2 linked regions of the Drosophila melanogaster genome follow. The protein of the gene in region 1 interacts with the protein of each later gene in a pairwise test. Each region holds a gene or a part of one and is shown on either strand. Other genes may lie near its edges.

Region 1 (16,491 bases):
GAATATTGTCTTTAAAAACGACATAGAAATATTGCTATAGATTTTATCGGACTCACAATGCGATTTCGTAACGATTTATTTGCATTACACACACTATCCATCGTGTGTATGCAGGTGTCTAGAAACTGACTTTTTACCCCAGATTCAATTCTCTGACAGCTAGTGTCAGACAGCCAGATGTCCGGCTGACGAGGCGGCAAACAATGCTAACAATTAATGACTGAGCCCGGCCATTACCATTTCCTTTGCTGCAGGACCTCCTCCTTCTCCCGATTGAGCGACAAATAGTGAGAGGCCCTTGCGTGCATACCAAAAAGTGAAAAGCGGGGCAGGAAAGTGTGGCAAGTAATCATAACGGTCGCTTTTCGAGGTGGCAGGGCCATAAAAAAGGACTTAGGGGTTGTGTAATTGCAGTTAACTACTAGTTCTGCTTTCCATTTACGTTTCGGGGTAATTTTCGCCAATTTTTTTTTTTTGCGAGGATTTTTCGCATATTTCCCCGAATTTTCCTCTTTTTGTGCGGAAGCCCACACAATGGCGGAATTAGCGCGGGATTTTCGCGCGAATAGTTGCTCTAAGCCGGAAGTGGAACTACCAGGATGCGTCAGCTTAGGATCAGGAAAGGATTTCTCCGCCGTAACCCCCATTAAATCGCTCGTGCCGTGTCCGTTGTTTACATTTAACAATAACTGGGCATGAAACCGTTGTTTTGACGACATTTTAGTGCCAACCTTCCGATTTCAATTTATGCACAACGAATATAAAAAAATTAACAAATATCAACCATAAATTAGAAATGTCAGCTTCATTATGCACATGGCGCTGCATAGTAATTAGGCAGCTTCGCGCGTCTGCAAACTACCTATAAATTTATGACCACTTGATGAACTGCACCCGGATCCGAGTCGAAATCTGGGGTTGGGCTCTCACATTTCGTCCTGGTCGCCGGTTGCTGGTTTCTGGCTAAGCTCATTTGCATAACAATCAACTCATCGTTTGTGGTACAGCTACCATACCATGTCCATGACCCACCATGAACCACTCCTTGCTGCCAGGATTTTTCCATTTTCAGCCTAGTAAAAGGGTGCTTCCTCAAATGCTAATGTTTCGCGTACACTGGCGGCGGGTGTGAAGTTGTAAAGTTTAATGTATTGTTTGTCTAACAGTTTATTCATTTGGAAAAGGAATATATTTGAAATTCCTTTTTTTTCTTGGCACAGTCCCAGAATGCGAATGTGACTGGAATTGAAAAATTGTTCTTATATGGGGTTGGAAAACTGCTTGGCTTTTTGATAAACTGATTTTGAAAAGTTCTCTTAATAATCAGTCATGTGTAAGACCATTTATCTTTTACAGAGGAACCTCAGTTGTAATTTAAGATCAACGAAGGAATTATTACGCTCGAATTAAGTCTAGCTATTTAAAAAAAAAATTTGTTCATTTTTAATGACTTTCATTACTTGCTCAAAATGGTTGGGTTGTAACCATTTCATAATGTAATACCATTTAAACAGGTTTAATCTATAGCAAAAATCAAATTTGAATTCTGTGATCATGTATGTCAAAAACCGCTAGAATATTCAATATTTATAAAGTACCCTGAAATAACCCACAGGACCTTCTGTTTTGTCCTTCATTCAAATAATTTTCCGCAACCTTAATCGAATTTTATGGTCCTATCGTTAGTGGGCAGGAACATGATCTCAATTCGATTTGCCTAATAGAGGAACATGCACTATATAGTTATCTGATTCTTGATTTACATGTGTTAACATTTTCGTTTTGTTTTCCCTTCGCTGCGTACCACTTTCTGGCTCAACAATGTGACATAAATCTGCTTAAATTTGACTAAAACCGCTCTGATCGGATTAAAAATCAGCGCTTGCATAACATTTTACAGTATCAGTCGAGGGAGAGATTGCACACAAATGCGACAGATTGGCTTCCTTCCACGGATACTGAAAAATAGAGAAATGAAAAGGTCCTGTTCGGTACGAGCACTAAGTGTAACAAAATACTCGAGCCGGCTGTTTGTTTATCCAATGTTTTTCGGTTAGATGAGCACACAACTCGAAAGCGACAAAGGTAGGGCACACATGGATATTTTTTTTTTTCGAATCGGAACAGTAACGTATACGACGAGGTCGCACACCCCGGAAGGTTCAGGCTCACAAAAAACAACAACCAGAGGACGTCAAAGATTTCACAGATAAACCAATTCGAGCAGGGCAATGAATGGGCAAAAAGGTCGAGCAACTTGCCGCTAAAAAGCGAACGTGTAGCTATTGCACCAGAGCGAATCTCTGCCATCAATGTTTGATCAGGACCAAAAAGGGGTAATAAACAATGGATCCGGGGCTGCAATAACCACGTGCACCGGCAAAGGGTTAAAAAAATGTGTGCCAACGTCTTGCTAAAAAGGCGTAAAACAATCAATTCGGCAAATAAAATTCGATTTGCGAAATGGGAATCGCAAAAGGGCAAGTACAAATTGGAGCTGTGTCGTCAGGAACGGTGTGATATATGATCTTAATATTTCATGCTTTCCATTCCAAGGGTTGAACTCTGACTCTCATCAAGTCTTTGAGAGTAACCAAAAATAAGGTTTTAGAACACCAAAAGGAACGACAATGCACATAAAAATTTCACATTACCTTAATTCATGTACTCAAATAAAATAAATTTTTAAACAAATGGCTTGATAATTTATCCATCTTTTACAAAAAAAGAAGAGTCCTCAGTTAAACCTACTTTTCTTCATGCTTGAGTTAATCTAAAATACAAGTTGATGGAAAATAATAATAAATCTATACTATAAATTGATAAAATAAACTTCAAAGAAAGCAGCCTTATTTCCGTGTTCGGTTTGATAGGGAAGAGTATGAAATGGCCCCTTGTGTTTTCTCCGTGTGGACTAATCCCTGTATATTTACACAGAAATTTGATTTGGTTAGGTATCTGCAAGTCGAACCCTCCGCCATTAGTCGACCCAGCCGAAGTCCTTTGTGCAATCTCATCGGACCGCATATGAATCGCTCTCCAAGGACCTGCACTTGCCGCAGCCGAAGATGCCAATCCATTGTGTTTGCGCCTTTTAGCATGTCCATGGCAATTTGTTTCCATTTTGGTTGCCTTATCGCCTTATGGCCATCGCCAAATTGTTTTTCCAGCCTCGCAGTGCATTAGCATTCGGGCAAGGGAGTCAGGGCATAGATGTCGTCATTGATCCGCCGATAGCCATCGAAACGCAGCCACCCCGTCCGCTAATGATGCGAGTCCCATCCGGGCCAGGTTTCATCCTCATCCTCAACCCTCGAGGAGAGGCGAGTGGGTCCCAGAAATTGAATGCAGCTTAGCTGGCTCACCCGCTGCGTATTTGCGCCTTTGCAGCACAACAGGACCAAAGAACCCAGGACCCATGCCGGTCTATAATAATGATTATTGCAAAGATAAATCCCGACACCTCCAACAAAGCTGCTCAAATGACAAACGCCGGCTTAGTTGTGGAAAAACTGACGAATTCCCGCTTATAACCCCAATAACTAACCATGAGCGAATCTTTTACCGACAGCAAATATATCTAGTTAACTTAAACATAGTTGAATGCTCAGGATGGCTAGACCTAAAATTATTTCTAAGATATTTGAATGATGAATATAAATTCTAATGGAGTATGCATACGAATAATATGTAATTTTAAATCTTTTTGTTAAAAGTGGTGGTTAGTAGTTGATATTTGAAATTAAATCATACAAGTTGCTGATAAAGATATCCTGCTTTCCCAATATTCAATTTACGTTGCATTAGGCAAACCTACGCCTTTTTTTAAAACTTTAAAACCTTTGAATGTAAGGCTTTGCAGTATGACAGCTCTATTAACGGATAAGACTGTCTTATTGTAATCTTCAGTTGAGATTGCGAATTCCTCACCGGCTTTCCAGCATCTTTACCACCTTTTTACCCTTTTCTCGTAACGGAAAACGTCAGTCAGTCAGTTGTTACCCAGTTAGGCAGTAAAGCAGTAAAGCATTTCCCTCGACTCTTGCCGGTTCGGTTCATTCAACTAAATAATTTGAGTGGCATTCATGCAGGTCCACTGGCTCACAGCTCATGTTTCAGGATTCCCTGTTTGGTCCTGACTGCTGCTGTTGGTACATTCGTTTTGTAATTGTGTGGCAGGTGACGGCAATCTTCCATTGTTCGAGCTATGAAGGCCGAGCCGGGAGTTCGAGTTCGGTTTCTACTTGAACTCACCCCATGTCGAATTGTAAGGGCGAAAAGTGCCCCCTACGATAAGAACAAGCTGCAGTGCACACACACAAAGCCATTCGTTTTATGTGCCCTGCAATATACAATATTTATTTGAATTTAAGTCCTTTGTTTGGGACCTGAAATCCGCACACAGCGGTACACTGATTCCAGGGTTGTTTGCTTTGGCTACTATTTTTGACTTTGTCCAGGAGTTCGTCCATTCTTCCCACTCGCAAAACCATTTTCTGGCTCGTTTTGATCGTCAACTTTATTTGCAAAAATAAATCTTTATGGTTTTACATCGAAATTCAATCTTATCACCTTAAAGTTCTGGCCCTGACTAGCTCGCTTTCCTTGCATTGCAATAACTGATATAGAATCTGGCATAACCTACATACACTTAATCGATTGTACAGTTAATTATGGCTAATACCTGGTTCATTTTAAGAATCCTTATAGATAGGTCTTAAATCTAGAATGGCAAGGTACGTATCGCTTACACTAAATGGACAACCGATTTGTACTATATAGTCAAGAAGAATGCGAATATGTTGAGAAGAAGAGTGCTTTTTGGAAAATTGATTACCCTAAGCACTTTTAATTCAAATATTCACCAGAGATCCGCAAGAAGGAAGCCAATGAATACAAATATAATGGGAATTCATATGAATTAATAATGAGTTCGTGAAGCTTAACTTTGGATGTTTGACTTTAAATTGGTTAATCTATTGAGGATCCCTCTATAACATGAAACTAATTGAGTTCAAAGATTAGCGCAAGTGTGAAATATACAATTTTTAAAGATATTTCATTTTCAAACTTGATGATAATCTTAGCAGTCAATTAGGTGCCTCGCTTATTACCAATATCAACGGATTGCAGGAAAGTTGAGAAAAGTAAGGAAGGGAAATCCCGAGATAGGACCCATAAGTTACTTTAGTTATGTTTTTAAAGTAAGTCAAGGGCAAATCGCTTAGAGGAATTCCCCTTGATCAGTTTCCTGCAATTTCCGGCAATCTTTTAGTATATCACGCTGAAAACCCTAAGATCGTAGTTTGGCCCACAAAACTGTGCTACACCTGCGGGGCGAAGTTTTTGTAGCTGTGTTGATGTGGAACGGGATGCACGTGTGCCTGATCCTCCGGATAGTCCTTCCATGGCGGTGTTTGCGAGTAGAAGCTGCTCTGCTGGTGAATCCCAGAATCCAAGTTCGTAGAATGAAGATTGGCAGCTGCATCGAAGGATCCCCTGAACAGATCGTATTTCTCCTGCGAGAACTGCTGCGGGCTGGACTCCTGCTGGGGATTAGGCTGCAGATGGTGAGGCTGATGCGGCTGCTGTTGCTGTTGGTGGTAAAACCGCATGCTGCCTGTAAAGTCGAATCCTGGTGGCTGCTGCGGATAGTCCATGCCGTGCTGAAAGCCACCCATCGCCGGCGGCTGCTCCGCGTGCGATGCTGGAGCAGTCTGGTGCTGTGCAAGAGGCGCCATTCCCTGTCCATAGGGGAACATTCGTCCGAACAAGGGATACGGCTGTGGATTCACGAAAAGAGCATCGAAGAGCTCCTTGGTAATCCTCTCACCACTCAGCGTGAAGTTCTGCAGCTTCTCCAGATCCAGGTTGATTGAACCTCCGCTTTCCAGCACCTGCTCCAGGGCAAAGATGTAGTTGTGCGCAAATCGCAGAATCTCGATCTTCGTCAGCTTCGTCTCCTCGGGAAGCGAGGGCAGAGTGACGCGTAGTTTCTCCAGGGCATCATTCAAGTTATGCATCCGATTCCGCTCCCGGTCATTGGCCTTCATGCGGCGGAAACGCTTGATCTTCACCACTTGGGTTGGACTGCGCGAGCGAGTTACTCTGTTCTTGCCGACGGCATATTTGCGTTTCGGTCGCGGCGCATTGGGATCCTCTGGCGACTTCACCGGCGTACTGGTCAATGGCGGATCGAAGACGCCATTCGTGGCCCGACTGTTCAGATGTTCGACCAGTGTCCTGCCGCTCCGAGTGCTGTGATTGCTGCTCGTATCGAGCAATCCCACGAAGCCCGCCGGCGGTGAGCTGAGCGGTACGGCGTCCCAGGTGCCGCCGGAGTACGGTTGCGGGATCGCCGGAGTCGGCGGAGTGCCAAAGTCCAAGCGGCGTCGTGAGCTCAACTGGGCCTCCGTCTCGAAACTCTTCTCGTAGCCACTGTCGAAGGAGGCGTCGTCGTCGTCCTCGTCGAACTCGAAGGACTGTGATCCAGCGCTATAGGCATTGTAGCAGGCGGCCATGATCTCGTATCTGTATCACGGTGTGTATATCCTTTAGCACATTTCCGATTTACGATTTCCGCTTTGAGAGAGTTGTTTCTTCGCGTCTCGCGTGCCCGCACCAACTAAAAGCTGGCGAGGAGTGCGCACCGGTTTTATGTGCCCGGCCAGCCATTAAGCCCGCTGATTTGGGTCCGGACTAACAGGCATCAACCCTCGGCGCATTGTCGTCGGTCGTGGCGGCGCCATAGCGCAAAGTAGAGAGCACAGAACCCCGACACAAATCCCAACAGATATGCGCCGTGATTGCCGCCCGGGGGTGGCTTTTGCCAACTCACACACCAACGTCGTCTAGCTAGAACTGCCTGCAGCGGGGTGAACTTCCTGGAGATGGAGATTCGTTCTGCGGGCCGCCGCTACCAGTCAAAATACGAGCATTTTTCACGCTTCGCTGCGAGCGGTGCTCTCTAGGCCAATCGGAAGGATGTCTGCGTCCGAGGATCAGCGGTGTCGCCAACGGCATCATCAAAGCTCGTCTCTATAGTCATACCCTTCCTCTAGGGTTATTTAAATACAATGTGCTTACTGCACAGCTTAAACTTAATTATATTTATATTAATGAATGAGTAGTATTGTTGGTCAATTTAAGATATGCTTTATATTATAGTTAAATTAAAAGAAGAAATATTATATTATTATATATTTTGTAAAAATCACTTAGTTTAAGGATAAATCCAAAAATTATTTGAAATAGGGAATACTTTTGTTTAATATGATATCTTCGGATCATTACGACTTTGTTATATTTTCGGTGTAGGTATAATTTTCGGACGAGATTTAATCCATTTCCGTACTAAAAGATTTCTTACCCTTTCCTACATATATAGAGTATGTGTGCTTCGTGGACTAAATAAATTGTTATTTTGTTTTATCGCCACATCGAAATAATGCGATTGCAATTCAAAAGATTCAATTACCATCAACTCTTTCGCCTTTCGCAACTAAACCGCAATAATCGTTTAGGGCTTACGCCTGTCGCTAAACGGGTTAGTGGCACGTGGCCAGGATGCCGCCTCCACTTACCAAAAGCAACATGTGTATTCAACGGAAAGCTCTCACTCCCACAGGACTCCATCCTCCTGGTAGAAAACCCAGGCGTTGCCACGTGCCGCGGTCTTAACGGCTGCTCAAGTGGCAAAGTGTGCCGATGTGGGATTCCTATCTGTGGCAATCCTGTTAAAGGAGGATCGGAGTTGCAATTTCAAGTGGGCGACGGGTGCCACGTGCGGATTTGTTATGATATGCGGCAATTGCCGCAAATTACCAGCACGAGTGAGAACTTGAGTGTCGAGGGGGCTAATTTAGTAATATGCCACATTTCAGGCAGTTCCTCCTAATGGAAATGAATTGAGTGCTTTTGTTGAAAAAATATAAACCTTGCTTCAGTAATTGTGACACCATCAATTTTTTCTTTAATAGTGCTTTATAAGGTAGCTAAGTATGTTATGAAAAATGTACTAAGTAGAGCTGATGTTTGATTAATTTCCTTATAGATTTCAAAACCAAGATAGTTTTATATAAATAAACAAATACTTAATGGTATACTTATTTATTTATTTTTTAATCAGTTTTCTTGTATGATCAGTACAATGAGTGTTTTCGTAACTTATAAAATATATTTATATATATATAAATATATTTATATATATAAATATATATAAATATATTTATATTGAAGTTTTAAACAGAATATTAATGGTAGTTTGTATCAATATCTTTATAAGAGCTAAGTACTACTAACAATGTTTCTTACATGAGAAGAAAATCTATCCCATATATGCCACTTAAATTCACACCAGCAGCCACGTGTCGCCGTCGTCGTCATCCATGTTACAAAGCTTCTCCGCCGCGTGTAGCTAATTTGGTTTTTTAGAGCCACAATGCACATCAATTAGGCAGTTAATTGAAGTGCGGATGCGTTTGCTTTTTCCATTGAGTGTTGTCCTGGACTCGATGAGAGTCCTTTTTTAAAGGCCCTCGGGCGGCGTTACAGTCCAAATAAAAACCGAAATACAATGCCGGAGCCGGAAACTTGGTCAAACAGATGTACACGTAAATAATTTCATCAAAATCCTGGCGTTTTGGTAGCCAAAGCAAATACCAAGTGTGCCCCAGGCTAATTGCATTCTAACAACCGAGACGAATTCGATTTTCCCAGCTATACACTTCATCTTCCTTGCTCCCTTCCTCTGCTGCGCAACCAACGAACATCCCTTCGCCAGCATTCGTTTCGGGCACGTAGAACATCGCCTCTGGCTCGGTAGCAGGCTCGACTTGTCAACAGCGTGTTAGAATGGAATGATGGCCTCCTCGTAAAGCGGATCCATATCCATTGCATGTGTAAAGTTATTCATGGGGGGGTTTGCGGCTGGAATTGGTGAGTTGGACGAAAGAGAGTCCGAGGACAACTCGATCACATCCGGCTGAAAGGAAGGCGATCGTCGCACATTTGGTTCTGTTATACACTTGGGCCCACTGCGTCCACGGTCACGTCCACGTCTTCTAATCGCAGAAACAGACCGAGTCACTTCCTCGAGATCTGTCGAGGAATCGGATGTAATGTGCTTGAAGACCGGCTTGGCTATCATGCGCGGCGATGGCGTGGACGATTCCGAAGGTGCTGGCGAGTCCGATGTGATGTGCACAAACTTCTTGAAGCGGCGCCTATCATATTGGCGGTAGTTGTAGCTGTTTGAAGATCCATTGCTGTCCTCGGTGTGGGAGCGGCTCTGACCGTTAAGACTCGCTGTGAGCCTTCTTTGGCTGCGACGTGTCTGGTCGTTATAGAAATTTGCCATATTAGTTCGCTTAACACGAACTCTTACTCCCCTGAGTTTTTCTATGTCTCGTGGTGTCAATCTGGTTAAGCACACCTGGGAAGAACGCGTCAGGCATTCGTTGATTTGACGATTTGTCTCCATTTCCTTAATATCGTTTGCAGATCTGGAATTGGATTCGTTGTTCACTGAGTCAAATTGTAAGCACTTGTTCTTAGGGTTCTCATCACTGCCATCCCACAGAAGGGTCTCCTCCGCGGTGTCGGTTTCTGTCCCGGTTTCTGATGGCGTTGACATTTCATTAGGCAGCTGAGCATTCCCTAAGCGCTGCATGTGGATAAGCTTATCTTTTTGTTTTCTTGTATTCGGTAGATCCCGTTGCGGTTGTCCAGTTTGTTTTGGCTTTTCGGCCGCCTGTCTCGCTTCCAGTCCCTCTACTTTGAACAGTCCATTTGGGATGACCTGTTTTAGGTCACTAGTTTTTAAGGCATCTCCCAGTGGCTCCTGGGTCTGTTGTCCAGTTCTCACGGGCTCCTTGGTCAAAAACAGAAACTCCGGAGTCTTCTGTGGCACTTTTGTAGTTTCTAGGCTCCCATGGATCAAATGCGTCTTGGTCTCACCAGTGGGCTGCAACACTTCTGGGTCCATGGTTAAATCAGACTTTGTGGTCGGCGAAGGTGTTAGCTCTTTACTTACACCGGTAGAACCTTCGCTGACCTCCTCCTCGTTGAAGTCGTGGGTAGCCATCGTGGAAGTTTCTGAGTTTACGCTTTCAGTTTCCGATCCCGTGCGAACGATATTTTGAACAAGCTGGGAACATGGCTGCACGGCGGCTTTTGCAGCTTTGGCCATTTTGAGGGCCTTCAAGATTTTGAATTTGTTTAATATCGAGCTGCACTCTATCATGCTGCTGCTGTCTTCTACCACATTCTGCAGCTCTTCCTTCTTGAAACTCCATATGTCGGCGATCGGCTTAAAACCGACGGTTTCGTTGGTAAATTTGGGTCGTGACTCCATCAGTTCGCTAATCGTACGCTTTTCGACACGCGCAGATGTTTCTTGTAGACACAGTTGTTTTGGAGGCTGGACTGCGATTTTTGGCTGCTCCTCGACGACGGGCTGCGTATGAAATTGGTGATGTGATGTCTCTGGAGAGCTCGATCGTCGCCCACCGCGCACACTTCGATCCATGTCAGACAACATGGCATTGGCTACCATGGCTGCCGCCCTAACCCGAGTCCGGCGGCCATTTCCTGTGTAGTAGGGCTCCGAATCGCTTGAGGCAGCCTCCTCCTCGTCTTCCGAAAATACTACTGTGGGATTTTAAATTGAAATTATTAGTATGACTGAATTATTAGTTATTATGAAAGGAAGTGGCTCAAAAGAAAACGATTTTGTTGCTAACCTTCGTCCCAAAATTTGCGTTTTGCGGGTCGCCGCTTTTTCTGCTCCTTGGCTTTCTCTGCTTCATCATCCACTGCTGACGTTTGTTCAGCTTCTTCCTCAGCCTCTGGGAGATTAACCGCATTTTCGTAGCCCTCTTCTATGGTGCCATAGTCCAACTGAGGGCGATCCCTGTATTTGGCATAGTCGATCTGGAGGTACTTCAAATCGTCGCCAGCTTCGGCCATGTTAAGAGACACAAATTTTCTCTTGAGGTCCGGGCTTTTGAGAAGGGCATGGCAACGCTCGTGTAGCGTGTGCCAATCGAGAGCCCATGAGTATCGTTTATTCCGTGGTTGGAAGACCACGGTCAGAAGGTCTTGGATCATGCTGCGGGGAAGCCGCAACGCCTGCAGCGATTTGTGTATCGGATCGTAGTCGGCCACTGGATCGTAATGGTTCGTTATTTTTACAATCTCGTCCACATCGATGGTGGAGCTCAGCAGTTCGTACTTGACGTTCTGTGGTGTCGTAGCAGGTAGCAAGTCGTCCTCCTGCCGTTTTTTCTTAATACGCGAACAGCGCCTCACTTCGTTATAATTTGATGATGTGGGGTGGAGGTAGAAAGCCGTAAGCCAGAATTCTGCCTCCATAAACCCATGTTCGGAGAATACCTTGGCTAGGTCAGCATAGTTTTCCGACATCTTTTGCTCCAAATTAAGCATAAAATCAACTGTTAATCCGGGATGATATTTCCATATTTCAATTGCATTCAACTGTTGTCCAATGATCTTCAGCAGCAGGGCAATCTTAGCAAATGTCCATCCTGAAAAATTCTACATGAAAGCACTGTGTTTAGTACAGGAATTCCTTTTCATAGTTCTCATCACTTACCCGCTCTGCCAGCAGTTTGTACACAAAGCTCAAAACTTCCTCATTGTTTGGTACATTTTGAAACACCGGATCTATTTGTCTATCTTGTTCTTCGTCCACCTCAGGCTGAATCTGTTCGTCGTCATCACAGTTCTTGTAGTCGCCTATGTTGCTGGCTCGGTTTCCCTTGCATATCTGCTGCTGGTAGTTGAGATTTAGCTCTACTACATGTGGTTGAAAGTGGCTGTTTCGCTGGTTTTCCTTCTTCTTGAGTTCCTCTAGAAGGAAGCGCTCGCTGCTCTCTCGCTCCTCTACATAGCGATACATTAGCTCTTTGAACTGTGGCAGGTGCTCCAGAAAATCGTGTTCGTTGAGCGCCTGGAGCTCCATCAGGAGATTCCCAAGCACATAGCTGGCGTAGACCTCCAGCATGACGGCGAATGAAGTGACCAGACTGAATTTGAATTTCCTAAACCCAATTTGCTCAAAGAACCCATTTTTTCCGAGTTGAAGACGCACGCAAACGTGGGCAATAAGCCGAGCTGGCGTAAAGTTAATGTCATGTAACATCGAAGCTTCCTGCATGATCTGGGTATAGAACCGTATGTTGTACATCTAAGGAGTGGTTTTATGATGACATTGTGTTTGATATGTTGTATCATGTATGTTTTCCTTACCAAATTATCTATTACAAAGCCTCGATTTTCATCTCTTACAAAAACAGTCAAGAGGTATAGATGACCGATTAGTGTAATTGAGTTTTTATCCCCTTCAAAGGACACAAATTGATCATTTTCGTGTGCTTTCACCCAAGCAGCCAGCATCCGAAGCGCCAGCTGTTTCACGGCCTCAAAGTTGCCGGCATTAAAGAGCTGTATTAGCCGCAGCAGGGCCAGAGATATCCCTTCCTGTATCAGGAAAGCAACTTCTAAGAAATTGACTATGATTAGATAAATCCTTCGGGAAAAATAGTAATTGCTTGCCTTCTCCTGATGCCGCAGGAACTGGGTGCTCGATGGCGTGGTGTTTGTTCAGCTTCAGGTTAAGGAATAGCTGCTGCAGGTAGGGCAGGCTCCAGGGCCTTGTCTGGAACTGCAGAACGTACGACCAGTTGAAATTGGCCAGTTCACCAATCTGGTAGAACGACGGCACCGCTTTGGTGAGGCTGTAGAGCAATAGTTGCTTAAGGCCTTCGGAGCAGGTCTTCCACTCCTGGCTAAACCAAATCAGCAGCGAGTGGTGCGCTAAAACCCGCACCATGTGACGCAGCGCTGGGTCCTTTAAGGACTCGGAATCCCTGGTGGGCAGATGGCACACCTCCCATCCGTAGATTAACTGCGACAACCGGTCATTGCCCATTAGCTCAAACACATCCACATCGCTGTGCGCATTGCAGAATACAAACATTTTCTGTAGATCAAGATTTAAGCCATTAAAACAGGGAGTTCAGGATATATGTCCAAAGCGTGTCCTTACCGCCGAGAACTCATCGTACTCCAGTTTCTCCGCACAATCCAGGAACTTTTCTGCATCGTGCACATCCTGAGAAAATATTAGATCCATTCCGCAGTACCTAATTCATGACAATCCTGCGAAAAGTCGATTTGTTTTTCAGCCGGCTTGTACTTAGTTTTATTTAGCTTGCAACAGCTGACGCCGATTACCGTAAGTGGATGGTTTTAAACATAGTGGCAGCGCTATCTCGAGGTTCATGTACTCGCTAAACCACGAGACTAGCTGTAATTGCTGAATGGGGAAGGTGAACTCGCTAGGGCCATTGTTGCCAACTTAAATTTATCTCGCAGGCAAAAGTAATTGAACAATACATTTGAAAAAAATACAACAAAAATATATGCACTTTGTAAATGCAATAAGGAATGGAATTTTTTTTTAGCTATATATATAATCGATATTTATTCCTATGGTTGACTTTATTTTAATTTTTTTATATTATCGTATAAGTATGATCAACGTACATACATACGTATAAACGTATGATATTACAAATTTTTCAATGTAATAAAAATTCTAACGTAGTAAATATTCCATAGTTGAAATCCGTTTCTTTGCATTTGTACATATAGAAATTGTCCTGATACTATGTTAGGAAAAGGAAACCAGCTTCCTTTTGTTAAACTTACCTTAAGTCCCTTTCAACAGACCTCGCATTCCTCTCGAAGATCGAAATTTCTGGAAACTTTCTAAAAACACGAAAAACGCGACGAAAACTTACCCGGGCGAAAACACGCGGATTTTTTATATGTATATTAACTGCTTGGTTGACTACCAACAAAAACTGAACACGTGTTCATCTATAAAATAATTAAATACTCAGTTATGAAATTGATTTTGTATAAAAGTAATGAAACAGCTAAAATGTAATTAACTTGTTAATTATGAAACCACTCAGATATGTACAACATTCGATTCATGAACAGGACATTTTGGAAGATTTGCCAAATTATTTGCCATCTTGAAAGCTGGGACCACCTATGAATGCACGTGCGACGAGCACATTTGTAGGCCCTGATAGAACATAACCTAGACTACTGCGGAAAAAGAAATTGTTCACAACGCGCAGAGCAGCAAAAGTTTAGATGCCGTCGCCAAACCACTTTTATCATCAATTGCCACATCTGAACTGCCAGGAGCGAATTTTTGAAGGAATTCGAAGCAGCAACATGGGAGCTACAAGCACCACGATGCGGCCACTAGGATGGCAATGTGCAACCGGACTGAAGCAGCAAAAAGTCGGAAAAAAACTCTGGGAATTGTATCAATATTGATCTGATGCTTTAGGCTATTGGTTAAACATTAAGTGCAATCGCAAATTATTCACTACAATACCGGACTGACAAATGATTTTGTATTTAAATTGGAACTGGTGAACTTCGACGAGAATGAAACGCAACTAACCAATTTTCTTATTGAAGTGACGCGATAATTATTGAAATGACAAGCAATTAACATATAAGCCTATCGATATACAGTCTTGAGAAGCACATAAAGACATCTTAAGGTGCGACATTGAAATCTTTCAAAATTACCATCACTTAATATGTAGAAAAATAATTGTTATAATGATTTTTCAAGGGAATTTGGCCTGACTTATAAAACACGAAAAATAAATGCACATGTGTTATGAGAAATTTGGCTTGCTTAGAAATTCGAAACCAATAAGTACTCCAATACACCCACTATTCCAACGCAGTGATTTCTTGCACGGACATAAGAGTTCTGAAGCACGTTTGCCTTGACCCCGGGACATTGTGTTCCCCATGTCTTGCGAATGTCCTGGCTGCCCCGGCCTTTGTTGTCCAGATGGCATATGCAAAGTGCAAACAAATTATTATTAGCTGCCAACAGCGCCAGCTACATCATCTTCACAATGGAAGCACCGAGGGATTCCCACACAAATGTGGCGTCCAGGAGAACGGAAAAGGCGTTTGGTCAGGGCGGGGCTTCGCTGCATTCTCCCATTGTACGGCCAAAGTTCCGCCTTTAAGGCGAACCCATTTAATTCACTTTGTCACCATGCAAATGAAACATTAGTGGTGACGTATCCAAATGGATCGCTCAAAGGTCTCCGTCGGATGCCTGCAATTAGGCCAGACACGTAAATGGAAATGATTTACAATCGTTTGGGCGTCTGTTGCTTCTGTTGCTCCTGCTGCAATTCACTTACCATCAAGTGCACTGAGAAAAATCCCTTTCAGCATGGATAATATAAAAGGTAAATATTAAAAGAAATAATATTACTTTAATAACAGATATGTATTGTTCAATTTAATTTGCAACCAACATCCAATCTTCGTGTATTACCTTATGAATGTCCTTTTCTACGGTATAATTAATACTTTTTCATTTCTAAATAAGCACATTCCATCATCTATAAACATTTGATTTTCTCGCTAAAGAGCGTCATAATCGATCAAGTTTTTTATTAGTGCTGCGGAGGAACGGACACATGTAGCTGTCATCGGCGTTGAGAGTCGGCAGCGATTTATCAGTGGCCAAATCAATTAGTAACTACGTAGCTTATCTCCTGGATGGACGAACTCTGCAGCGCTCCAATGGTGCGGGTGCGGGTGGGGTCCCATGGCCCATTCATTATACGCACCGGCAGAGGAGTGTCATAAATATTCCCATCATCGTTTATTCGGCGTCCCATCAAATGGCCACAAATGAAAACCTGTTGATGTGCCCGCATAGAAAGCGATACGCTGCAACGCACACACACACACACACACACAACACAACACCACACAGCGCAACACACACTCCCACTTGACATCTTTGGGACGTCAGTTGTAATTGAAGAAGCTCTTTTTATCCTTCGTTTTTTAGCAACAAAACGAAGGAGGCGCTGTGTCGCCATAAATATTCATGAAGCACTAAAAGGGTTCTCCTCCGGATCCTAAGCATCCTGCTGTGGAGTCGCATTCAGGATGGAGCTGTGGGCATAGGTACATCGGTGGTTGGTAAGTGGCGAGAATCGTATTTGTGTTTGGTCAATTGCCACCCGGTGACAAAGAAATGCAATATGCAATATGCTGTCGTCAGTCGTTCCATTTGCTCCATTGTAAGTGTGCGGAGTGTTTAATTTTAAATGCCCCAAGGAGTGCGTGTACCTGAATTTGAATGAGTACAAGGCTCGGTTTCCCCAGGGGATCGACAATGGTCTCCGCCATTGTCGGATGGTGGGAGTCAGAGCAAACAATCGCGCATGTGTGCCCTAAACTTGGGGTTTCTCCTCACTCACCCACACACACACACGCACACACACATTACGCTCGCTTACACTTACACTTATACTAACACGTACCCCGCTAAGTAGGCAACACACTTTTCGGCCACTTCCGTTGCACAAACGACAGTCGACAAGCGGATATCCATAT
Region 2 (16,535 bases), on another chromosome or scaffold:
GTCAAGGGGGGAGGAATGGTGAAGAGATTTAAATACCTAATCTGCGGTCGGTCAACTCCGACCAAATTTTATGGGGGACATTGTTTCCATTTTAATTGTTTTAAATGAGCTTTGAATTTAAAAATTGTGGATGGGGTGGTTCCTTATATAGGCGTTTAACATCCGGAATTAGGGAAATAATAACAAATAACGCCCGCATTTGTTTTCGCATCCATTTGGGATAATGAAGCGCAACCCATTGAATTTTAATTTGGCACTTAACAAATTCAATGGGAAATCTTAAAGTTCATCTCGCTCAATTACTGCCTTTTAGCTCGTATGGACTACGGATTTATTTTCATTTTCAATTAATTTCCTTGTGAACATAAGTGTATATTGTTGTCGCCTTCGCATACTCTCCTGGTGCACTTCGTTACTACGTGGACTGCCACATGAATGCAAACATGAAAAGCTTTCTTGCAGTAATTGTACACGTTACTCGTAGAGTAAAATGGTAAACTAGACTCGTTGAAAAGTATGTATCAATAGCCTAGTCGATACAGATACAGATACAGCATACAGATTTTGGATAGACGCAGAGTAAGTTTGTTGATTCATGTTGCCCATTTTAACGCCCACAAACTGGGAAATTTTCAGATATTTCTTCGTTTTATTGTTTGTCTTGCCAATCTATCATCTACCGGTATACCAAAATCACTTTGGCCACCTCTCTTCTAATGCCTTCAAACCGCCGAAAACTGTCACGCCCACACTTTTGAAAATCGTTTTTCTCATTCATATCTATTGATTTCGGAAAAAAATTATAAAATTTCTCGTTTGCATTTCTACTACCCGAGTAACGGGTATCTGATAGTCGGGGGACTCTACTACAGCATTCCCTTTGTTTTATACTCGCTACGTGGGGTAAAAGTTTTTATAGCCAATTTCGATTGATATGACAAAAAACCGAAGGTATCTGATAGTTGAGGAAATCGAATATTTTGTTCTCCCTTATTCTATCTCGGTAATTTTAAAATCAGATTCAGACGAAGTTTATTTCCATTTATATTATTACATTAATAAAAAAAGTATAATCTATTTTGTTGAAATGTTGAATTTTGTCAAAAGAGATGCGCAAATGAACTTTTAGGGGGTGGTTGCCAATAAAAAGGATATTATACACTTATACCTGACTTAAAAAAAAATATATCTGTATTTCAACGCGATTTTGGTCTCTCTCCAAGCGATATAACTTTTTGAAACGTGTTCTTTCTTAACAGGTGTTGGGACGGCCTGATCGAACAATATATTTTATAAATCCTATAGAACAACTAATATAACTATATTAATATAAATTAATTATTATATTACAACTATATATAAATATCGAAATTATAGGTATGTACATTATTACGAATGGATTTAGCCGATTTTGGTTTGAAGAAATATTTGTGGTAAACTCGAATAATTTGCAAGATGTATGGATCTATGGGTGACCGAAATATGAATGGAATATTTACTGCTGTCTGAAAAGTCTAAATGTATAATTTCAACCACCTACTTATTGTCGACGCCGGTTATGGAGGTTAGCAAATAACTGGATATCACTTATTTTGTTTTTGCAAGGCCACTGTAATTCAACGAACACAAGGTTTAAATAATTAATGTAATCCTTATTTGCTTCCATTCGCTACATGGTAAACAATAAATTCAGATATAAGGAAAACTGTCTTCTGATTGTCTTCACGACTGGAGTCTGGGATCTGTTTTGATTTACATTTGTATAGCTTACCTACCTATGGAAATTGCATACTGGTGGTTGCCCGAAAGCTGCTAGAGGTACCGCCAGCACGATAAAAAAGTTAAGATATGCAAAACTATTTAAAATTCATTCAGAAAGTGTCAAACAGAGTTACCGTCCATTCATCTAACGTCATTTAAGGTGTGTGCACCATAGAAGATACGAAAGAGATTTATAAATAATGAATGGGCGCATACATATATACGTATTTGAGGTTTTAAAGTTTCGATTGATCAAACGGACAATTTTTGTAACATTTTTCGATAACTTGATAATGCGCTGCATAGATATTTTTTTATTGCGTGATAGCATAAAAATATTTATAATGCTATAATAATTTATTATTTTTAACGAAGAAATCAGATGCTTGCATGCATTATTAGTTATTGATTATTAAAATTTCAGAAATTCCAGAGTTGTCAAAAATACGCATATCTTTTGAAATTGGCAAGACAAATAGTAAAATGAAACAAGAGAGAATGATATAGCATAATTTCATAATGATTCTAGCATATCAATGGATATTAAATAAGAAGATATAAAATGAGAACGTTCGACGTTCTTACGGACGCACAGACGGACATGGCCAGTTCGACTCGGCAGACCCTGATGTACATAATTTATAGAGTCGGAAATACCTCTTCCAAGTAGGAATCTAGCAACCTTTTTAGTCTACGAGTTCCCGGTATAATATCTTCGTCGCATAGGAACTGATTAGTTTGGTTTTAAAAGTTTTGTGATCATTCAACCCATATTTGCACCCCATGTCGTTGTGATTTTTCGATCCCTTCAAGTCGACACAATCTTTGTGACTAGGCGAACGTAGTACACAATTCCATATTCTAATCTTTATTACGTCAGCCATTCTACCTTTTAATTTATTCATGCGTTTGGACAAAAGATAAAGTCCATGAATGCGAGTAAGAATGTGAATCTTTCAAACAAAAAACCAAACAGATTTTAACTTATTTTAAAAACAGTCAATTTTACCGATTTGAAGTATTATAGCATACTAAAACTTAACCGAAATCAGACATATGCGCATAAAATGATGTGATCGAAAAGGTCAGATAATCCAGCTGGAATAGGCCCCTCGTCAATGAAAAAGGGGACAATCGTGGAATCACATCAATAAATTGTCAACTGGCCAACTTTAAAGTGTCGGCCCACATGTCGAGAACATAACAAAGGAAAAGAGCTCAATTTTGAAAACAGAAAATAAGAAAAAGTGTTGCAGACGGTTTTTTTTTACCGCGAAAGACTACTTAATTCTACAACCTGTTGCTATCTTCAAAAGATACGAAAGCAAAATATAAGCAAAATTATTATATATTATATAGAGTAAATGGGTATACTATGTTCGTTGAAAAAAGCGGAACATATTGATGGGTGGAATGTCTCTGTAGATCTCGGGAACTATATCGGCTAAAAAGTTGAGATCTGGCCAACTGGCTATACCGACGACGAGACAAAGACTGAGGAGGGTCACCCAGCAGACACTTTTACAAGGGGGAGGCAAAGAACTCGAGTGCTTCAAAACTAGCCAAAACTATTAGCTAATCTAAATTATTTTTCCAAATTGTAATTCATCGTTGCTGTTATTGTTATGTTATGTTCGTTGCCATTCAAGCCATTTAATTGGTTGCTTAACGTAAAAAAAATTTTGTAAAGTAAATAAAAATATTATTCCTGAAATTATTTATGGTTAAAACACTTATACATTACATCAAAAAAGATATTCGCAAAATTATTTATTGTTAAGATACTTGCGTTTATGTGTGTTCCCTATTTATTTTTAAGATTAATCCTATGACAAGTTTATGATACAGTGGTCCGAAAAAATGAAGGCTACCCGACAAGCGATGATCGGTGGGACTATTACCTTGTTACACGGTTGTTGGGTTTTGGGTTTAATACAGAAAATACAAATGCAATAACATGCATAGGCATACCGATGAATAATTTAAATATTGATCTGTTCGACTTTAAGTACAAGAACCCGTGATTCCAAACCCAGTGACCACGGAAACAAAAGTTTATCTGAGAGTCAAAACGGAGACCTCGTCAAAAACTTGTTTGCTCACCTGTATTTACTTAAAATATCCAAACACAAAAACCTTTGCATACTGCATATCTCAGTTTGTATGTTGACAAGGGAATGTGTACCCAACACGGTAATTGTACATAAGCATGTGATAAACACGAAACATTTGGTCTCTTCTTAAATCTAAACAATGCATTCAGAATATCGGTGTACTCATCGATTCATATGTAGTTTACCAGCTCTTCCCATTTCTTTAAGCTTCTTCCGAATCAGTAGACTATCCTTTGGGAAATAGGTCCCTGAACGTAATAATTGTTAAAAGCCAGGGCCCTGACCCATCGGAATTATTTGTTAATGTAATAATAATAAATAAAAGTGCATACTATACAAAAATATGTAACAGGTAGACGGAAACGTATCCGACCCTATATGTTATGTAGATGCTTATATACAACATCCGAGTCGATCTACTACGTGAACTGCCATTTACATGGATGAAAGATATAAACTAAATACATTGACACCTGAGTGCTTCGTCTGGTAGCTAAGGTTTGTTTATAGACACAAGAAATATGAATTGGACGAGTGACAAAAAACTGGATTTTCTATAACTTCCAATATACAAAGAAAACAAGAGAGAATGCTACTGAATGTCCAGTTCCTCGACTATCAGATACCCTTTACTCAGCTTGTTATAGATATTGGGAAATAAAATAAGAAAAAATTAAAAAGAATTTTAAAAGTGTGGGTGTAATCGCTCTTGGGCGGTTTGTAGGCGTGGCAGCATTGGTCAATAAACTTGCGCTGCGTTTATGTCTCTGTCTTCCACCCTTTTACTTTACGAGCAACGGGTATAATGAATTAAAAAATTGTGGGCGCTGTGTCTATGTCTCTAGAATATGTATGCTTATATGTATGCTTAGTTCCCACGTGCATATCTAGTATACCCTTCTTTTACTCTACTGGTAACGGTTATAAGAACTACAAGAAAATAACTTATGTAATGTTTTAACGCCTACTCTAATTTCCCCAAAACGGAAAAAAACAGCCACGCCCACACTTCTACAAAATGTTTTGATATTTATTCATATATTTGTTGGTCTAATACATTTCTATCGATTTGCCAAAAAACTTTTTGCTTCTATCAAAAGGAAAAAAATGTCAAAATTGCCACGCCCATACTTTCTTAAAAATTTTTTCAGTTTTTTATTTTTTGTCTTGCCACTTTCTGTCGGTATACCAAAAACACACTTTGGTCATGCCCCTCCTTACACTAACAGAACGACCAAAACAGTCACGCCCACACTATTGAACAGTTTTTAATTTTTTTTTCATTTTATTCCCCAATATCTATCGATATCCCAGAAAAATTAATTTCGCTTTCGCATTCACACTAGCTGAGTAACGGGTTCCTGATAGTCGGGGAATTCGGCTATAGCATTCTATCTTTTTTCATATATGTATATGGGTATATATGGATATTCTAATACCTTGCCGTGCATTAGCGAGTATGTAAAAGCGAGAGTAAACGCATGACGTTTAAACGAAAGAGAGTGAGTGTCAGAAAGGGTTTTATCTATTCTTCTTTTATATTATTCCTTTCCCCTCTGACATGCGTGTTATATTCATTTCTTGGTAAAAGTGTAAACGCAGACGCAACTTTTGCAACAGACAACTGCGTAAATATGTATTTTTTGCTGTACGTACATACGTATATGATTAAAAATTCAAATTCAAAATACTGCGTGTGCGACGGTGAGTACACTTTTACATAGGCATATGTACATATATGCTGTATATTCATAAAATATTTTATTTTTGAAATTACCATTTGAACTGCATCGCTTGCATATTTATACCCGTTGCTCGTAGAGTAAAAGGGTATACTAGATTCGTTAAAAAGTATGTAACAGGTAGAAGGATGACATTCCGACCATATAAGGTATATATATTCTTTATCAGGATCAATAGACGAGTCGATCTGGCCCTGTCCGTCCGTCTGCCTGTCCATATTAACGTCTAGATCTTAGGGATTATAAAAGCAATAAGGTTGAGATTAAATATACAGTTTCTAGAGACATAGACGCAGTGCGAGCTTGTTGCCACGGTCACTCTAACGTCCACAAACCGCCCAAAACTGCCACGCCCACAGTTTTGAAAAATATATTTTTATTTTTTGATTTCTCCCCATAACGGTCGCGACCATGCCTTTGAACAATTTAAAATTTTTCTTTTTTTATTTCCCAATGCCAAAAACTGTTGAAATTTTCCGTTCGCTTTTCCCCTAGCTGACTGATTTGTAGTTGATAGGATCCACCGACACCGGGACATTTGCACCACTCTATAATAAATATTAACCCGTGTATTAACCCATATGACAAATTTAATATCATCGCATATGTAATGCATATGCAAAATATATTTTTTATATTTTTTATATATTATATTACAAACACACTTTCAACAAAATATTTTAATTAATAAATAAAAGATTAAATGATGTAGATGTAGAAACTTGACCCTATAAGCATATATAAGCGCAGGATCACTTAAAAGGTCCGATTGTCCGTATTAACACCGATATCTCGGAAACTGTAAAAGATAAAAGAGAAAGAAGAATGCAGCGCATGCATGCATGTACGCATCGATCAAAAGTTATAATAGGGTACCAGATTCGATGAAAAAAAACCCTAAAAGTATATATATATTCTTGACCAGGATAACTAGATTCGATCCGTATGAATCCGTCTGTCCGTATGAACGCCTCGATTATTAAACATTCAGATTCCAGATACATTCCAGAGACGTATCATAAATACGCCCACTCTAATGCCCAAAACTGCCATGCACAAACTTTTCGATTTATTTTGTCTTTCTGATCGATTCTATCGATAGTCCTAAAAATGTTGAACTTTCTCGTTTGCACTCTTAAGCTTAAAAAATTCTTCATAAAAAAAATTTTCAATTATTTTTTAATGATTCGAGTGGTTTGTTCAACGAAGAAACATTTTAACATGCATTTTTTGACTATTCCGGTGGAATAGTACGCATGTACGCATGATATTTTACAAATATTGTACAATATTTACGCAAGACATGTCGCGGAAGTATAAACATTCTCTTTTGGTCCAGAAAAATGTTAAAAAGAACTCAAGGTTTCATAATTCATAACGGACGTGCCTGATCGGCTCTGCTAGTGATCCTAAATACATATGTAAGTAAGCATATTCAAGATCATCTCGGGTCGCATACATTCTACTATAGCGAACATAAAAAATATTACACACATAATATTGGGAAAAGCTTAATCGGTTTGCACATTCAAAAAATTTTATTTAATGACAATGTGATACGAATAATATTATACATATATTTTTGTATTTATAGATATTTTTGATATCTCCGAATACAAATATTGAGTAGTTATTGGGAAAACAAAGGATCTACTTTTAAATGTTGAGTCCACGATGCTTGCCTGTAGGTATTTCGGTTCAAAAGAGACATTGTGATAGTTTTGTACCAGTTTAATTACTATAATATTTCTGATCATTCTGCAGACAATGGGATGTGGAACTTGCCGTGTTGGATCTTTTAACATCCGTCGGCAGTAATACAAAAATAATGAAAGATGATTGCCCAAGCTGCACCCACACAAAACAAAGGCACACACACATGCATAACAACAGGCAGAAATTAAATAAGGAAAAGAGAGGCTCGCTGTGAAAGCATAAAGCACATTGGTACACCGTTTTATCACATCATCTCCCGTCTCGCTCTAACGTAATTACCACTCTGCGTGGCAATAATTACCCCATTACGGAAATCTCCCAAAGTCTCTCAGTGTCTCTCTTGAATGTTGATTTGTACGCATGACTCGATTCTGTTCGGCTCGGTCGGACTTTCGGAGAATAAAGAAGAGGAGAGCAGAGCTCGAGAGCCCCGGAGAGCATTAACCAGCAAGTAAACAAGTAAGCCTGCCTCTCAGCTCAGTCGAAAAAAAACGTTGAATGAGTCAGATGCGGGTCGGATGGTGAGTTTTAGAGCTCTCAAAGATGCGGTTTCGCTGTAGATCTTCATTATGATATATTTGCCGTTGGCGTGACTGTGAGACTAAATGTGACTGTGACTATTCGCTGGTTAAATGCGCTAAAACATAAAAAGTGACATAGTAAAAAACAACCAAAGAGTGAAACTAACTGCAATCTGAAATGTGTTACCTCTGTAATCAATCATTCACTGCTAGCCCAATCCCAATTCTGCGAATAGTGATATCTATGTAAAGTTCGATATGGGTGCGCGTTGTTATACGGCGTCTACTTGAGTTTTATATTTACTTTTTACTTTTGCGTTGTGTCGAACAGAGTATCACAAAAAAAACCTATAATGGCAAGAATGAAGAACACCGTGAACCTTTCGACCAGTTTCAAAAAAATGCATTGCGAGATCAGCCCAACTTCCTGCCCATACCTGCAAATGGATACATTCGATTAGAGTAAATAACAACCATGCCGGAACAATTCTGCGGCACTTCTTCGTAAAATATTCAGTTCGCTTCTGCTACATGTTTAAATCAGTCGGAAATATGGGTGCATGCTAACGGTGCAGTTCCGAGCAGAAAACAATACACTCACCCTTATCCTTATGTGTGAGGTGCATTGGTATTGGAGTTCTGGTCCCTAGCAACAAAAACTTCAATCCGTAGACAAAAGCAGAGTTTCATTCCACTTCCAATGAGGACAATCCTGCACTATTTTGTTTGATGTATCGAAGCTATCGAAAACGGATTCCGTCCGGGAATAGTTTTTTATTTTTAATTGCATTATGTGCCAAACGATCCCAGCCGAGTAAAGCCGAGCTGCCTTGAGCTGAGAGCAACGAGGGTGTGCGAACGGAAGTCGCAGGAAGGAAAGAAGCTGAAAAGAGCACACCACAGGCACAGGAAAGGGTGCTGTGCCGCGCTAGTCGGTTGTTGGATGTTCTCTATGAATTGCCTTCAGCGATTTAATGAGCACGTGGTCCACGAGAGAAGTATATGCAAAAACGCTGTGTGTCTATTTCTGTCTCTGTCTTGGTCTTGATAGCTCTCCCCTCTTCGTCGCGGTGTCTGCACTGGGGTGGGCGGATGGCAAGTGATGGGAGGGAAAGGAAGCAGAACTTCCCACTTGTGATTGTGCTTGTGACTGTGCGTGTGTGAAAATGTGTGTATAAAAAAGAGACAACTGTCTCGCTTGCGATATAAGCAGCCAACTAGGAGTAAAAGTGTTTATATTAAAATGCAAAATCCCAAGAAGTTGGCAAATTAAATCAAGGGGCGTAACGCGCGCGAACACACTCTCCTTGCACTCATCCAATTCGCTCGATTTGCTCTCTTGAAATTTGCACACATTGCAGATATAATTACAAGTGTAAGAAAAAAAGACATTTAACATAGTTTTCAGCACCCGTTCGTTCTATATAAAAAAAAGATTTTGTGTGAAAGTTAATGTCTTTTCAAGCCATTGTGAATTTCTTTTATTTGGTCTTTAGTACAATCATTCTTTCAAAAAACTGGAGCCATATATGTATGTACAGTGATAAAGTGGTAAAGTCCTTGGCAAAACTACTTTTGTGTTGCCAACTGACTGCTGTGGGTCGATCACCTTTCGACTGTCACCTGCCACTGGTCACGGCAATTTCACCCGCATACACCTGTATACATATGTACATAAACTGGCACATCAGGGTTTTTACTTAATTGGGTTCTTTTTAAGCCTTGCTGTTGCCTGCCGGCTTCTCCCTAACATCCTGTCTATTGACCACCTGTCTCAAGTTGATGGCTTCACATAAATGCAAAATCAAAACCGCAAACCCTATTGAGAGAGACCGTATTTGAGGGTCAGTAAAATATGTAACCAATAATTTATATATAAAATATACCAATGTCTGAAGAACTTTGCACAATTCGAATGTATAACACTAACTTGTAATAGCTAAATATTTCAGGTGAAAATAATAATAAAATTGTTCACAAAATTACTCTTTAGGTGCCGCAGGCTAATTATCTCGCCCAAATCCACGAGCGCTCGATTCAAAAGTTCCTATAATATTTAAGCCTAAAGTTAAACATAACATAGTACAAACTATCGCCGCTAACTTAAAGTAATTCACGATTGAACTAGCTAATAACCCAACTTACTCCAAGTCTAAACGCTCGCAAACATACATAAGTGCAAAAACAAAAACAGCAAGGAGAAATCGAACGCCCTTATTTGAAGGATCTTCATTTCAATCGTCGAATGGCTTAAGGATTCAACTTTTCATAAGGACCTCAAGTGAGTACAATATTAGATTTGGTAAGGGTATGTTGTCTAGTTGTATGCGCAAAATTGGTCCTTTGTATACAAATAATCATATCATAGCCTCCAGAAGATATGGATAAAAAATATGTCTCGATAGTATTTTATTTTCAAGTACAAACCAGTTACGAATCTTATTTTATATATGAATAAAACAAGAACGTATTCATTATTCGTGTATATCGACTATATATACCCTCATAGCCGTCTATAAGACATCATTACCTCAGTTATACAATCAGCAATACCTCATAACACAATGAATTTTCGGTTACACCTTTCATGTTGAGTCCCAAATACTATAGATCAACAATGACGGTTAATGAGAAAATATATATATTGTTTCCATTTTATTTCTATGACATTTTTTTTATTAATGAGTCCGATTCGTTTCGACATATTTACGTATATACTAAATACAATAGAAAGAATATTTTCGGGAAAAGTTAATGCTTTAATAGCTTATAGCCTTAAATCTGAGAGAGTATTTGGCGTAGGAACAAGCAGGCAAACTGACTATATAAGCTCGGCTGTTTTTGCTGATCAAGAATATACCTTCACTACATTGCATACTTCTGAGAAAAATTGCATATAGTGTAGGCAATAAGAACGCCTATATGTAAGTTAAATATCATTAAATAAGTTCGTATTTAACAGCAAAGGCTGCAAATTAAGAACGAACAAGTATTTGCAAACATTATTGTCTGCGGAATTAGTGTTTCGTATAAGCGCACCAAATAATAGCTATTGGTTCATCATGTCAAGTCACCCATTGGAACATTTTAATTACTTAAAGACTTCTAATTAGCCAATGACGATGAAGCTCTCACAGAGAGGTGGAAGGGGATTACTAGTCCCTTGTGCTTTGAGTCTTGAGAGTTGGTTCAACGAACGAATTGAACTTTACCGAAATAAGCTGAGCCGAACAGAAAAATAACAATGCCGAGCAGAGAACTAAAATCATCCAGTAATTAAGCACATAACAGACAAAAGCAATGATGACGAGAGCAAAGCCCTCATACTGAGAGCTTAGGGCTTCGCTCTTTAGCTGTTAAATCTCTGATGTTGCCAGTGCAGAAACAGTGGAAACATGGCAGAAACAGCGGAAACGGAATCAAAAGAAGAGTAAAGCAACTGAATGCGACAACCGCCTAAGCGCGACTTGATTGGTCGGTTGTCGCTACTTAAAGTCCGCGGCTCCCGCTCCTCTCCCTTCTGTTTTGTTTCGCTACTTACTCCTCCTCGTATTTTCTCTTCTCTTGCCGCACGTCCGCACCTGCCGCCTCAAGCCTCTTCCTCTGTGGGTTTGGTATTTGCTTTGCTATTTGTGTTCTCCGTCATTTGTGGGTGGCTAGATGGGTGGTTTATAGAACAGCGTTAATTGATGCCGTTAGAATCACACCCCATTGGCTTTGTCACTGGCTTGGTACGGGATACGTGATTCGTTGCAGCAGAATCCCTCAACCACCACGCTAAACCACTCTGTCCATAGAAAGAAAGGAGAAGCCTTCTCTTTAGCGCAATTTTAATTACCAGAACAACCAATTAAGCACTAACGCTTTCACACTCCAACCGTCTCTCTCGCACGCTCTTGATATTCTCTTGTTAGTTATCTACATGCTTCTTGTCCGTTACCGAGTGCAAGCATATAAGCTTTGATATATATACATATATAAATATATATACATATATGTGTGAGTATGTGTGTAATACGTGGGCGCTCGCATGGGAACCAATTAAATGAAAGTTTCTCTAGTAAATAGGTAAATAAAACAGCGTTGAGTGCGCTCGTTTCGGATAAGTTCATACTTATTTATGCCTTCTACTAATTGCTGCTTATTATTGCCGAATCTGCGTCTCGCCCTAATGTACATACATACACTTACATTTCTTTATCTTGTGGGTATCTAAAATCCATCAACCCTCAACCGGGTCCTTAGATCCGCCTGTACCCCGGACGATTTCCTCGCGTGGCGAAGAATAGAGGCAAATTTCAAAGGAGAGACGCAAAAATCGATAATGACGAACACCGATATTAAAATAAAAAGTCTGTGGAATCACAATAAACTACAAACGAGAGTTCTTCCTTCTCAAAACGAGTATGGGTAGGAACATACAAGCGTGTATATATGTAGGTGTATGTATGAACATTCATGTAACATTTACAAGCCGTTCCCGTGCCTGAGTGTGAGAATGAGTATACCTTGCGGAGTTGTGAGGTGGGGATGAATAGGTCGAATATATGTCTACTCTTTACATACAAACGTAGATGTGTTGAATGGGTAAATACCCTGGTGATGGTTTGGGACATTTTTGACGGCATATGCCCGAGCACAGCAACGTGGGTGCGGGGGAGAGGTGTATTTTGTTTCTTTTCTGTTTCCTTTTAATATAAATACTAATTATTGAACACGCTCAAACTTTGAGAAGTAGTACAAACGAAAGCCAGAGTCAAAGAATGTCATCATAAGTCGTTCGAGGTAAGGGTAGTTTGTCTCAAATAAACAATAATTCGAAATCGCAGGAATAATTGTAATAAAAAATTTCTTAGAGCAGCGAAATATGAAAGAAGAGCAGAATAGAGACGGGAGAAAAAGAAAGGAGACGAGAAAGAGGCCGAAATGTATGTATGTCCCAGTGCTCCCTGAAATACCACGTCCGGGTAATTGTGTTCTTCATATACCCATCTCCGTCTTGTACTCTATTTACCCATCAGCGCCTCATTCTGCCGTCTCTGTCCTTCTGGACCCACACTCACCCGCATCTCGAAGTACTTTGCTTTCCAACGTTGCCATTAGGTACGACGACGACAACAACCACGACGACGACGAAGGCCCTTTTCGGAGAGGGCCGAAAATATGCAGAAAGGAGACACCATCATCATATTCTGGGGCTGACGAGACGCCGAGATACAGTCAGTAGCGAAGCCAAGCGCAAGCAGCGCATTATGTATAAATTATTTATTTACATATAAATTATATTTGTACTCGCGCGCCGCTCGCTGATAGGAGAGGGAGATGGTCTGGATTGTGGGCGTAGCGATTCTTCTCCTGGGACCAAGCCGAACGACGAGTCGCCACGGTGTCTCCGTCTCCTCCAGGCACCCCAGTCTCTGCCTCCACATCTGTCTCAACTTTTACCAGGGCCCGCTCCGTGAGTGCGCATACAATTACAATTACCGCGCAGAGACATATGTACACGCACACTGGCAGCCGAAAGGGGTACGCGAAATGAGGCCCAAGCAACAACAAGGATGAAAATAGAAATTAGCAACAAAGCCGACAACGAACCCGAACCAGGGGCCGAAACTAAAGCCGAGCATTGGAAACCTGTTTTATTTTCCATGCCGTTCTGTTGCTGTTGTTGCGGTGGCGCAAGCTTCTCAAATGGCAAAAGTGATTTTGGTCGGTGCTATGAGCGGAGAAGGGAGGATTAAAGAGAGGGTGACCGAGAAAGAGAGGCAGATCCATCCGCACTCTCTCTATCCTCGGCTCTTTCTATTATGTTCGTCAATATTAATTAAATTAAGAGTTACTTCTCTCAGTCAGCTCTCACCCTCTCGCCCAACATCACCGACCGACCCCCCCTTACCAACAACACAACGACAGAAAATTTCGCTCCGCAGCTTTGTCTCGCATCTCTTTCTTTTGAGTGAACGCTGGCACACACCTATGTATATGCGGGCGAAAACCGTATGCACGCACACGAGTGCGAGCGAGGCAAAGTGCGGTGGCAATGATTTAGTTGTTCTCATTGTTTTTCGCTTGTTTGGTTAAATAAAATAGGATTGGTAGGAGTGGAGAGCTGAAGCTTAAGGTGGTTCTGCAACATTTTCTCTCATGGTTTTAGGGATTCCTATTCTCCGCTCTCAATTATTTCAGTTCTCTCGTTGGTAACCCTAAACCTAATCCCGCGCACAGTGCGCGTCAATGAATGTGGATGGGAGTGTGAAAGCTCGGTTAAAAACAAACAAGCGTACGAGCTGAATAGGCGTGGCGTAGGAAATGGACCGATGCAGACCCTGACTCTGGTTGCGACTCAGACTTAGAATTAGACTCACCCCCAGACGACCGACGACTGACGAAGACCTTGCGATACAAATCTGCATATCACATGTAATTGTCGACTATTAAATGTGCTCCAAGCGCATGTGTACTGATATGTACGTGGTACACATATGGATATACATACAGATGTGAGCCTGTTGGCTAAATCTTTGTACGTCGTCCTCAAATGCAAACATAATGCATGGGTCACACACACGCACATATCATCAATGTTCATGTGTTAGTATCCTCCCCCTCGCCTGACTCACGTAAAACTTTTTACTCACACGGAAAGTGCCATATAAATCGCGCTCGGACAGAGACGGAGAGCGTGTGCTAGTGTGTGGCGTGTGAGCTGAGCACTTCGCACACCACTGCGGCCTTCGACTACCGCATAGCATCTTCTGATTGGTCGTTTTAATGTGCGCTGAGTGCTCCCGCAACCCCCACAGCCCCACCCTCACGTCACATCTTTCTTCTTGCTCTCCCCTCGGTGACTGTATTAATTACGATTACACATACACGCAGCAGCAGCTCTTCGAGTATTTTAATTGGTCGAGCCATATATGGTGTTGGGATAAAATGGAAGAAATTGGTACACATAAGAATCATCGAGCTTATTTCAGAAATGCTCTTATCTTACAATTCCTTTAATGCGTTACAAAAATACTTTGTAACCAAATTAGTTACTTCGTATAACAAAAAAGATTTTTCTTATTTTCCTACCAAAATTATTAAGGACTAGTTCCAACAAATGAGTCAGTTTATATCAGTTCAAAGTTAAAAATTCGCTAGCAAATTATTAGGCAATTAAATTAATAAATGAATTGTATTTTTGATTTTGAAAATATTAATCATTAGTCAAAACTTAATTTATAACGAGATTTTTTTTTAATCCAGTTAAATTAGAATTATCAATATCATAATAAAAACTAACAATTTACCAGTATTATTGTCGCTTACACTTCTAATAAGAAAAAGTTCTTGCTCAGTGTAAAAAATATGCATTTGCGAAGACTTCATTCAGAAGGCAAAAAATTGTTAACAGAAAATAGGATTACCAATACGACGATTCACAAAAGGTTTACTATTGTTTACTATTACTTTTTACATCACATAATGTTCGACTGCAGTTTAAACTTGGCCCACATGCTATTATACGGATAAACATCGAGATCTCCCTGTTGAGTTTAATATATTTGAATCATTATTTGCTACATTTGCAATATACATATGAATTTAAGCATCCATTTTATTTTACCATTATACTTTTTCACCGTACACCTTCTTATAGTTTGGACAAAATCCACTGTCCGATTTGGTACTCACCTATAATACGAAGAACACAGACAGGTCTAAAATTGAGAGACTTAATGACATACTAGGAAAAAAAGCGGCAATCGGGCGGTAAGAGGGCACATACGGCTAATCGATTGAGCTCTTGATTCAGACCAAAAACATATGTATGTATGCTTTTATGTGGATGTTGCTATAAGACGTTCAAACTCTTGACCACCAATATTTTTACTTAAATAATATTACTCTCCTTAAATTTAATTCACGCAATTAATTCATTCAAAAAATAAAATGTAACCTGTGCTCAAGACTTCCAACGGTGAGGCATAACTACACTGACTCACGTGAGGAGCAAGTGCCCAGTCGAACGTTGTGAGTGGGTCAAAATACATATCCGTATATTTCTATACTTGTCCATTGCTCTTGGCTTGTGTTTTTGTTTGGCTTGCGCTGGTCTTGTGTTTCAGTGAGCATGTGCGTGTGTTTTAGCACCTACCTCCCGTGTTATTGAGTTAGTGGTGCTTTTATCTTCACGGTCAATAAGGGTTTCGGCCTTTCCCGGCTTGTTGCTCTTTATGTTGTCGTGTTTTTGTGTTTATGTTACTTATCCAAGGGTATCGCAGAAAGGAAAACACATGTGTGCGTTTCAATATACATATGTAGTTCGGCTTGTTAGATACTGAACCTGGGAAATGCCTTTAAGCCATGCTTTTCGCCTATTACCTATTAACGTTCGAAAACCATTTACCTATATTAAAGAAAAGGTAAAACAAGAAAAAAAAGCACTAGAGAAGTGAAGAAGATTATCCGTACACAAAAGTAACGACATTTGCTTACAATTTATGAATATTGTTCAAAATTAGAACGATTTATAACATTTTTCGATATTCCGTATACGTGCTATTTCGTTCTTTATATGGCAGTTCGTGTAGAATTTGAAAGCTCCCCACAGGAATCAATAAAAAACTGGTTATCGAATGAAAATCTTTATTGATCAAAGGACTTTCTTTACTAATAGTTTCAATTAATTTTTG

The links.
Region 2: the proteins of tap (region 1) and zfh2 interact in a two-hybrid assay, tested with the Drosophila melanogaster proteins (one large-scale study listed by BioGRID).

Annotation. Positions count from the first base shown.
Region 1 is NT_037436.4:17,349,823-17,366,313, reverse strand, and holds tap (target of poxn), read right to left. Parts: upstream 6,633-16,491; 5' UTR 6,522-6,632; coding exon 5,325-6,521; 3' UTR 4,503-5,324; downstream 1-4,502. Other genes in the region: CG7692 (uncharacterized protein), read right to left, coding at 8,849-10,650, 10,743-11,556, 11,615-12,208, 12,271-12,521, 12,577-13,003, 13,070-13,156. UniProt on the Drosophila melanogaster protein: May play a role in the specification of the sugar-sensitive adult gustatory neuron and affect the response to sugar and salt. Regulated by POXN.
Region 2 is NC_004353.4:494,004-510,538, forward strand, and holds the start of zfh2 (Zn finger homeodomain 2), read left to right. Parts: upstream 1-7,806; 5' UTR 7,807-7,854; intron 7,855-9,847; 5' UTR 9,848-10,135; intron 10,136-16,535.